Danio rerio: one gene and its partner. The protein of the gene in region 1 purifies or fractionates together with the protein of each later gene. This does not show direct contact. Links are inferred from orthologs where the notes say so. Each region holds a gene or a part of one and is shown on either strand. Other genes may lie near its edges.

The links.
Region 2: the proteins of nuak2 (region 1) and ppp1r12a purify together in Homo sapiens (affinity purification with mass spectrometry; 3 studies listed by BioGRID and IntAct, counting the BioPlex papers as one, with this or other methods). This does not show direct contact. The link is inferred for Danio rerio from reciprocal best matches to the Homo sapiens genes NUAK2 and PPP1R12A.

Annotation. Positions count from the first base shown.
Region 1 is NC_133197.1:522,884-528,443, forward strand, and holds the start of nuak2 (NUAK family SNF1-like kinase 2), read left to right. Parts: upstream 1-2,090; 5' UTR 2,091-2,115; coding exon 2,116-2,274; intron 2,275-5,560. UniProt on the Homo sapiens protein: Stress-activated kinase involved in tolerance to glucose starvation. Induces cell-cell detachment by increasing F-actin conversion to G-actin. Expression is induced by CD95 or TNF-alpha, via NF-kappa-B.
Region 2 is NC_133179.1:22,105,217-22,110,224, reverse strand, and holds part of ppp1r12a (protein phosphatase 1 regulatory subunit 12A), read left to right. Parts: coding exon 1-36; intron 37-121; coding exon 122-268; intron 269-1,959; coding exon 1,960-2,050; intron 2,051-2,986; coding exon 2,987-3,166; intron 3,167-3,674; coding exon 3,675-3,840; intron 3,841-5,008. UniProt on the Homo sapiens protein: Key regulator of protein phosphatase 1C (PPP1C). Mediates binding to myosin. As part of the PPP1C complex, involved in dephosphorylation of PLK1. Capable of inhibiting HIF1AN-dependent suppression of HIF1A activity.

The DNA of each region.
Region 1 (5,560 bases):
TCTTTAACAGACAGACACACACACACACACACACACAGACACACAGACACAAATACTGACACACACACACAGACAGACAGACAGACAGACAGACAGACACACACACACACACACACACACACACACACACACACACACACACACACACACACCTGGTTCTGCAGCAGCGCAGGTGTTGCTGTGGTTCTGTCGGATCTCCCTGAAGAACAGGATGGTCTCCTTCAGGTTCTTCTTCAGGAAGCCGCTGTGTTTGTTGTAGTGGTTGAAGGCTCGGGTCAGCTCCCGGGGCTTCTGCGGGTTCTCCATCCTGATCCTGGACCGGAACCGGAACCGCAGTCTGCGTCACATGCCCGAGCACAGAGATCCCGAACGAGCCGAGGCCCGAACCGACACCACCGGGGCCGGAGAGAGAGTGTGTGGTGTGTGTGTGTCAGCGCCTCAACACACACTCACACACTCTCAAACACACAGGAGCGCGCGCGCTACCGTTAACTGACGCTCGACGGCCGCGGTTCGGCTCCTCAGCACACACCCGGAGGCCGAACCGGGTCGCGGTTTCTGCTCGGCGGCTGTTCGGCACCTCGTTCCCTGCCGGCGGCCGCAGATCATCGGTAATCGCGGGCTCTGCGCTGCTTCGGCTCGGAACGGTGCACTTTTTCAGCACAAATACGGGAGTTTAGCGCTGCCAGCCGCCGCCGCTGCCCGTGCATTTGGAGAGAGGGACGGTCGCTGGGCGGGGCGAGGCTGCGAGCGGTGCACGCTGGGAAATGTAGTCCTCTTGGCGTCACAAACCCACGCGTAGTAATCAAAGCGTAGTTGTCGTTTTTTTTTTTTTTCATTTTATCTCTATTTTTTAACATTCATCTTTTGTAAGAACTTTCACCTCTCTGTTCTTGTAAACGTTTTTATCAATTAAAATAAACTGACAGATTTTTCCCCCTTTTTTAAGGATCAGTTTCACTCAGGCGCCATTGTTGTTTTGATTGTCAAGTAGCTCTCATAAACTGAACACGTCACACACGTGCAGCATTTCCATTAAATCACACTCATGTGTACACAGTGATGACGAAAGGGTGTTTATAAACTGCAAACCGCTCCTCACACACACAGACACACACACACAAATATGTAATTTGCAATGGCACATAAACAGCAATGTTTAGCCTGCGAATCTTCATGTGTAGGTTGTGTACAGCTAAAAACAAATGTCAATTGATCACAATATAATGATTTTCTGTAAGGCTAAGAGATAAAACAGCGTAAACAACATTTGCAGTACATACTTGAAGTGTAGTGTGGCACATCTAGGGCACATCTGTTGCGTTTACAGTGTCCTGGCGCCCTCTAGTGACGCAAACTCTTCTACAGTACCTTGTTACACTGTTAAACGAAAACTGTTTATATGATTACATTTGCATTATATTATACAATGTATAAGTACATTTCTTCATCTTAAGCAAAAAAATAATAATAAATAAATAACCCAGAATTTTTTAATAATAATAAATGAATAAATAAGAATATATATATATATATATATATATATATATATATATATATATATATATATATAAAAGTGGAAAAAAGGTCCGAATGCAATAGGTAATAAATGCCATCAGACCTTTATAAAATAAAAAATAATAATAAAAATTAATTTTTTTCGTAATACAATAATGTGATTTTCTAATAATTAATTAATTAGTATTTTCATAATTAATGATAAATGAAATATTGGGTTTAAGAAAAGCCGTGGCCTTTTTGGCAAAACTACCAAGTAAACAAGCTTCTTCGGGAATTTCCCTTTGATACACACCTACTACTGCACTTTCACTTTAATTAGTCAAACTGAATAAAGAAATGGGAAAGTTTTACAGCCGCACACTTTAAAGTCAACACAAGCGCCTTATCAGATAAACTAGACGATATTTGTGATCTTTGTTAATTATTATAAACGCGCTTCACTTCAATAAAGTCAGAGACAAAAAATAAGAGACACGCCCACCTGTAGATACACAATAAGGGGAGGGGCGGGCACTTACGGTCAGCACCACGCCCCCACTGTACTAGTGTCTCAGATGCTGCTGCGCGCCGGTGTGTTCGCGACGGCAGCGGCTCATGGAGAGTGTCGGTGCCCCGGAGGCGCCCGTAAAACGGCAGGCGGTGAAGAGACACCACCACAAACACAACCTCAAACACCGCTACGAGTTCCTGGAGACCCTCGGAAAGGGCACTTATGGCCGGGTCAAGAAGGCCATGGACCGGTCCGGCACAGCGGTGAGCAATAAACACCACATACACAACACTGAGGTAAAGTTACTTTACATTCACACATTCGGACTTTCTCCTTAAAATAATCTAATTTCACTAAAATATTTTTTTGCAAATTGATAATCATATTAGCAGCCGATCATATAGTGTTCACAGTCTGCTTCGAGTCTTACCTGTACTTTCAGACCGAATAGTAAGAGACGATGGTAAACAATAGACAGCATGCCACAAGTTATCACTGCCCGAATGCGCCAATATAAAATCAGCTAATTTCGCGCATTAAATGTGTTTCACATTAACACCGCGTTAAATGTGTTTCATAGTATTTATTATATATTACCTGAGTAAAAAAATCTATATTTTTTCCGGGTTTTCCTTCAGACTAATGTCAGTTAGAGTTTATATTTATCGTCATATTTTAAAGAACACGTTACATTCTATTTAACGTTACGTGTCTAGGTGTTTTCTAAATGCTTATTAACTGTCATGTGAAATCCTTATTCTTTGACTTGCACAGATTTGACACCTTATTTACACTGTATAAAATGGTCGGTTTTTGTCGTTAATCCAACCGTTGGATTCAAAAATTCTGTTAAATTTAAATGACACTTTTAAACCCAACGGTTGATTTTGTCCATATGAAAACCAGAAGGAAAATACTATTTATCTCCGATTCATCTAAATACTTATTAATTGTGAAGTGAAATAATTATTCTTTGACTTAAACCACTATTCTGTACACATTTGACAGTATTCATCTTATTTACACTGTAAAAAAAAAAAAAAAAAAAATTTAAATGACACTTTTAAACCCAACGGTTGATTTTGTCTGTATTCGACCAAACATTGGGTTACTTACAACACTCATTAAAATAGAATGAAAATGCTATTTAAGTGTCCCAGTCTTCATCAAAATACTCATTAATTGTCATGTAAAGATTCATTCTTTGACTTAAACCACTAGTTTTTACAGTTATTCATCCTATTTGCGCTGTATAAAATGCTGGGTTGTTGTAACCGTTAGTTTAATTTAAATGACATTTTTAAACTGAACGGTTAGTTTTTGTCCATATTTGACCAAACATTGGGTTACTTGCAACACTTATATTAAAGTGGAATAAAAATACTGTTTAAGTGTCTCAGTTTCTTCAAAATACTCATTTATTGTCATGTGAAATCTTCATTCTTTGACTTAAACCATTAGTCTTTACATGTTTGACAGTATTATTCATCTCTTTTAACTCTATAAAATGCTGGGTTGTTGTAATCATTGGATTAACTTTTTCAGTTAAATTTAAATGACACTTTTTAACCCAATGGTGAGGAGACACAGTAGCTCAGTGGTTAGCACTGTGGCCTCACAGCAAGAAGGTCGCTGGTTGGAGTCTTGGTTGGGTCAGTCGGTGTTTCTGTGTGGAGTTTGCATGTTCCCCCCATATTGACGTGGGTTTCCTCCACAGTCCAAACACACGTGCTATAGGGTAATTGATGAACTAAATTGGCTGTACTGTATGAGTGTGTATGGGTGTTTTCCAGTACTGGGTTGCGGCTGGAAGGGCTTCTGCTGTGTAAAACATATGCTGGAATTGTTGGCGGTTCATTCCGCTCTGGTGACCCCTGATGAATAAAGGGCCTGAGCCGAAGGAAATGAATGAATGAACTCAGTGGTTAGTTTAGTTCATATTTGACCAAACATTGGCTTTTACAACATGTATTGCAAACATGAACACAATTAAATACTATTTAAGTGTCTCAGTTTCATCAATATAATCATTAATTGTCATCTGAAGTCATTATTCTTTGCCTTAAACCACACATTATTATTCTTTTTTATTCAAAAGTATTTTATTTCAACAAACAAAACCCGTCACACACATTTACATTTAGGTTCTATAAAAATAAATAAAACATTTTAAGATAAAATACAAATAAATAATAATATTAAGTAAAACATATTTTACTCTCATATACAGTTGAAGTCAGAATTATTCGCTCCCCTCCGTTTATCTTTTTTCCCAATTTCTGTTTACTGAATATCAGATTTCTTCAGCACATTTATAATCATAACAGTGTTAATAACTCATCTCTAATCACTGATTTATTTTCTCTTTGCCATGAATACAGTTAATATTATTAGACTAGATATTCTTCAAGACACTTCTATACAGTAATCAGGCAAGTTATTGTATAACTATGGTTTGTTCTGGAGACTATCGAAAAAATACAGCTTAATGGGGCGAATAATATTTGACCTTAAAATGCCGTTTAAAAAATAAAAAACTGCTTTTATTCTAGCCGAAATAAAACAAATAAGACTTTCTTCAGAAGAACAAATATTATCAGACACGCTGTGAACATTTCCTGAATCTTTCAACACCATTTGGGAAATATTAAAAAAAAAAAAATCAAAGGGGGCGAATAATTCTGAATTTAACTGCATATAAGGGAAGAAAAGAAAAAAAAGAAAACAGAAAAAAAAAATACAAGAACAGGTTCTACTCCTCTAAAATGACTGAGGGGTCCATCTCCTTTATGTGATCTAAAACAGGTTGCCAGATGAGAAGAAACATCAGTACAGCCTCCTACAGTATATCGTATTTTTCTAAGGTCAGGTGGTGTTGGAGTTCCATACGCCATTGCTTAAAGAGTGGAGGAAGTTTTCCTATCATTTCAGCAATATCAATCTTCTAGCTAAAGCGAAGCAAAGGCAATCACATTTATCTCGCTTTTATTAAACCACAAGCTTTTATTCTAAACATGTTTTGTTGTAAACCAATGATTGGTCATATATGTACATGTTATCTAAATTTAAATGACACTTTTAAACCCAACAGTTGGTTTGGTTCATATTTAACCTTGGGTTACTTGAATGAAAATAATGAATTGTCATGCGAAATCTTTATTCTTTGACTTAAACCTCTAGTTGAAAATACTAGTTTACTAACCACATTAAAATACTATTGAAGTGTCACAGTTTGTCCAACACACTCCTTTATTGTCATCTGAAGTCTTTATTCTTTGCCTTTTAACTCTTTATTGTAAACCGATAGCTGCTTTTCCACTATCGTGGAATAATCCAATAGCCTATTGTTTTATTCATGGCTAGAGTAAGAATTTGTCTACAGCTTGTTAGTTTATTGTGAAGACAAAAATAATTAAAATAGCAAAAATAAAATGATAAAAATACAAAGATAAAAGAGCAGCATTTTGCTAAATATAATAGTGCTTTATTTGCTTTAGATCCTGATATTTACGTGTTGTTTCATATTCGTTTATTATTTCACTTGCTGCA
Region 2 (5,008 bases), on another chromosome or scaffold:
TACCTCACCTACAGGACACCGCAGCCTGCTGTCCCGGTACAAACACACTTCTCTATAACACAACATTGACAGTAAACACTCAGAGTCTGGTGTGGTAATGAAATGTGTGGATGTGTAACAGGTATTGGGCAGAGGAGAGCGCAGAGAAGGAGAAAGAGAAGGAGAAAGAGTCGGCAACCGTTATCCCTACAATCAACACTGCAGGCACCACCACTACCACATCCACCACTGGAACTGTCCTGGGCTCTGACGGGCGAGAGAGACGCAGGTACACCACACATTATCACGGATGATTCTGATGCTTTCAGTTAAGGCTGATTTAGACTTTTGCATCAATCGCACATGTATGCTCTGCGGCAGATTTTGTGCAGTCGCATAGCCCTTGCCAAGGCTAACGCTTATGCTCACGTGAACCTCTCATAAAATGTAACTACACGTCACAGCAATGCATACCGCAAGCTCTATGATTGATCTGCTTGGTAGCGGTGACAATTGTGGGTGGTGCAGAGTGCTGCGAGCTTGGAGAAGTGAGTGTTTACAAGTGTCGAGTCCTGTGAAGGAGCTTCAGATGGAAACTTTTGTTTTGTGTTTACCTTATAATAAATGTTGTTGCTCGTCCGCTGGTTCCCACTCCAGCTAGCATTTCAGAGGTGTTATTGCAGAACAACACAGCCTGCCCGCAGAAGTATAAATGCAATCGATTAGTGCAGATGTTTAAACCAGCCTTTAGGGATGCTCTGATTAACTAGAAATCACTTTATTTGACCTAATATTTATTGTTTGTTTGTTTGTTTGTTTTTATATATATTTTTAGGTGTATGTTGTGTGTTTTGTCTTTGTTTGTTTGTTTGTTTTAATTTTAATTTGTTTTGGGGGGGTTTTTGACTAGCTTTTTGTGGTGCTTTATTTGGTAAATATTTTATATTTATTTTACATTTTTTTGGTTTGTTTGGTTGCTTTAACTTTAATTTATGTTTTGTTATTTTTAGTTAGTTTCTTTGGGATTTATTTTGTGTATTTAGTGGTGTTTTTTGCTATACATGTTATTTTTTATTTTTTATTTGTTTATTTGTCTGTCTGTTTGATTCCTTTTTGTTTTTGGTTGTTTATTAGTGCTTTGTTTTTTTTTATTTTAATTCATGCTTTATTATTTTTATTTAGTTTTTTGGTATAGTTTTTTTGTTTTGTTTGTTGTCTGGAGTTTTTTGGTACATATTTTGTGTACTTTATTATTTGTTTTTTTGTTTCATTTTTGTTTTTGGTTGTTTATTAGTGCTTTGTTTATTTTAATTTTATTTTTAGTTAGCTTTTATTGGTATTTGTTAGTTTGTTTTGTCTATTCTTTGTTTTTATATATATTTTATATTTACTTTTTTATTTTTATTATATATTTTTTTTCTTTTGGTTGTTTAGTAGTGCTTTGTTTTGGTTTGCTTTTTGTTTTGATTATTTGTTCATCATTTAGTGTTTTTAAAACTACTAGAAAGAAAACATCCAAAATACATGTTTAGATGTTTCATTCATTTATTCAATTTATGTCTGTTAATTTATAATCACAATATATATTTAAATGCTTTTTTCTCAAATAGTTTTTAACATATTTTTTACATTTCTGTTACAAAGTGAATATTTGTTGTACTTATTTATTTGGTTCTTAATTAAAATGACAATAAACAACACGACATTCCATAACACAACCTAGGCAATAAGTGTGCAATCTGAACATCATTTTAGGAAAATTACGATAGTCAACAGAAAGCTTGCAAAGTACTTTTATGATTTGTACCAAGATTTGCTGATCATTAAACAACACATTGTTTTGTAGTTTCTAATAAAGTGGAAACTTTCCTACACATTCTTCCAAAGCCTTTTTTTATGAAAACTGCTTGAACATAAGCATGTGTTGCTTCAGCTGTGTTTAACCTGCAGGGCTGTGTGTGTGTGTGTTTGTGTGTGTAGATCGTACCTCACTCCAGTACGAGATGAAGAATCTGAGTCTCAGAGGAAAGCCAGATCCAGACAGGCACGACAGTCCAGGAGATCTACACAGGCAAGTCTAGACACTCATCTAATAATAGACACAAGTGCAGAACAGTTTACAAACCATTGGAAGATTTTATTGGGTTTAGCTTCAGCTTTTTAGTTTATTATAAACCAGGGTTTTGAAATGTGGTGGGAAACTATTGGACAAATTAGTGTTTATAATAGAGGAGAGATTGACCAGAAGCTTTAAAGAAAAATCACTAACTAAATGTAATAATTACCAGCTCTAAAAAACCACTATAAACATTACATTATACATGATTTACTTGTGTGTTACGTTATCATGTGGTAAGACCTATTTTTAGATAATGTAGGTAGTTAAATGTTTAAAATGTGAATCATCTTCCATCTTTATTGTACTTTTAGTTTTAATTCAATAAGTCTAATTATATTCATATTATTATTATTATGATTATCATTAATAATACAGATTGAAATTTACAACATCAGTGCAAAATCAGCTTTTTATTATGCAATTTTATTTAATTAATATTAAAACCCAAATTTTATTTGTCTAAACATTATTTGAAAAGCTAAGTTTGATGCATTTGTAGAGCTGAAATGCTAATCTCTTTGTGCTTTTGTGTATAATTGTAATAATAATAATAAAAAATGTTGCATTTTTAATAAAATTGAATTAAAAGCAATAAATATGAATTTTTTTTAATAAAAAAAGTTTAATTTAAAATATTAGTATATTCTAATGTTATTACAATTTTAAAATATGTGTGATATGTATTTAAAACCTTTTTTTACCATACACTGTCCAAATCTTTAATAAAATTGTGTATTTGTTTCATGTAGTATTAGCAAAATGTTAGAACATTACACTTTTTTTTTTTTTTTTTTTACAATTACACTGATCATGGGTCTACATATCTTGTCTTATTTTAGCAGAAATGAACAACATAACACTAACCCTTTAAACTTGTCATTTTTTTAGGGTGTGACATTGACAGACCTCCAGGAGGCCGAGAAGACCATCGGTCGCAGTCGCCCCACACGGCCTCGAGAAGATGAAAAAGAAGAGAAGGAGAAACAGGACAAGGAGAAACAGGAGGAGAAGAAAGAGACCGAGACCAAGGAGGATGACTACAGGTCGCGCTATCGTAGCTTTGAAGAGGTTAGAGAAACTCCCAGTTACACTTCTGTGTTACTACTAGCGGCTACTTTGTTTCAAATTATTGCTTACTCTTTTTAAGTTTCCATTCAAAAGAACTGAAACTAATCATATAAAATGCAGAGACATCCAGATCTGCATTTGAATCCATATACATCAATAACGCTACTCTTGGTATTTCAACTTAACTTAAGTATCACAACCATATTTCAACCGTATTTTGTTCCTTTGGATTAATTTTCTCTATGTATTTCCTATACAGTAAAATAATATTCAGAATGTGTTAGCAATATTGCTCTGAAAATGTTTTTTTTTTTTTTTAATTATAGTCATTATTTAAGGTTTGCTAAAAATTTTTTTTTATTAAGTTGCCTTTTAATTAATGATGGATGAACTGTGGGGAGAATAAGGACACTTCATTGTACATAGTTTTTTTTTTAAAAATCATTTTTTTTTTACAGTTTAACAAGTAAAATAATCCAAGTTTCTCATTTTGCTTTTTGTCCTTCAGAAGTATCGCACCTCGTTGGCCTCCAGCACCACAGCGTCCTCCACCATCCCTTCATCCTCATCCAGTAGCTCGTCTTCTCTGTACAGCACCTCGTCTCTGAACCGACCCAACAGCCTGACGGGGCTCACTTCAACATACAGCCGATCTACACGCGACACCGACAGAGGTACACAAATATCAACAAATATTAACAAATATGAACTGGCCAGTTAAGTTGAACATTTATGGCAAGTCAATGCAGCTGAATAGGGTAGAAATAATCATCTCCTTTACATGTATTTATTAATCAGACCCTTTTATCCAAAGCAATTTACAAATGAAAAAATCACATGACTTTATGTACATGCTGGAATTTATTTTGTAAATGTGTTTCTTTTCCACATTTTTTCTTCTAAGATAAAAAGTTCTACTCAGTTTTGCGCATAAGTATTTTCTAAAATGTATGTGCATTTTGATGTCTCTTTGGCAATAATTTCTATGCAAAGTCAAAATTCTTGTTTTTGGCATATTAGAGTGAAAAAAGTGAGCATTTTGGGTATCTGTTTATCACTCCATAATTCAGAAAACACTGGAAGTAGAGTAACAATTTGTGTTTTGTTTGGTTGATTATTTAAGAAAATATTCCTCTACAAAACCCATTAGAATATAAGAATAAAACTGAAATCAAACTCCTCTGCTGATGTGGAGATTTATTGCTCAATGCAGAAGAAATAACTCATTTTTGAGTACTAGCTTTTACAAATATTTATTATAATTGCAATCTAAATTTAAAAAATGCTTTTGTTCCATTAGACTTATATTTTTTTAAGCAAATCTCAAAAATGACAAGTGAATATTTTTTTTCCTGTGTGTGTGTGCGTGCGTGCATGTATATAGTGAAGATGGTTTTGATATTTTGTTTTGATACATATTTTAGTTACCTTTTTTAAACCATCATACTTTTAATTATAATTTTTTTAAAAAAAATTTTTCGCCCAGGACTTAAAAAGCACACAAGCCTTTGTATTGTATTGAAATAAAAAAAATTATTTGCTGATTTTAGTGTTGAAAACCGTTTTATTTGATGGTTGAAATTGAAATCGTTGTCACTTTTAATCAATCCAGTAAATTCTTGCTGAAAGAAATATACATTTCTTAAAAATAAATACAGAAATTGCACAATAGTGTATTTGGTTTGATATGCAGCCAGTTTATATTAGTTACACTGAAACCCACAAACCATAACAGTATACAAAGAATACTGGCATTAGGCTTTCAATTCATTTTTTGACATTTATTTTTCTTCCTTCAGCTTGCCCAGGATTTCTGTCACAGTCTTAAATAAAATGGGGATT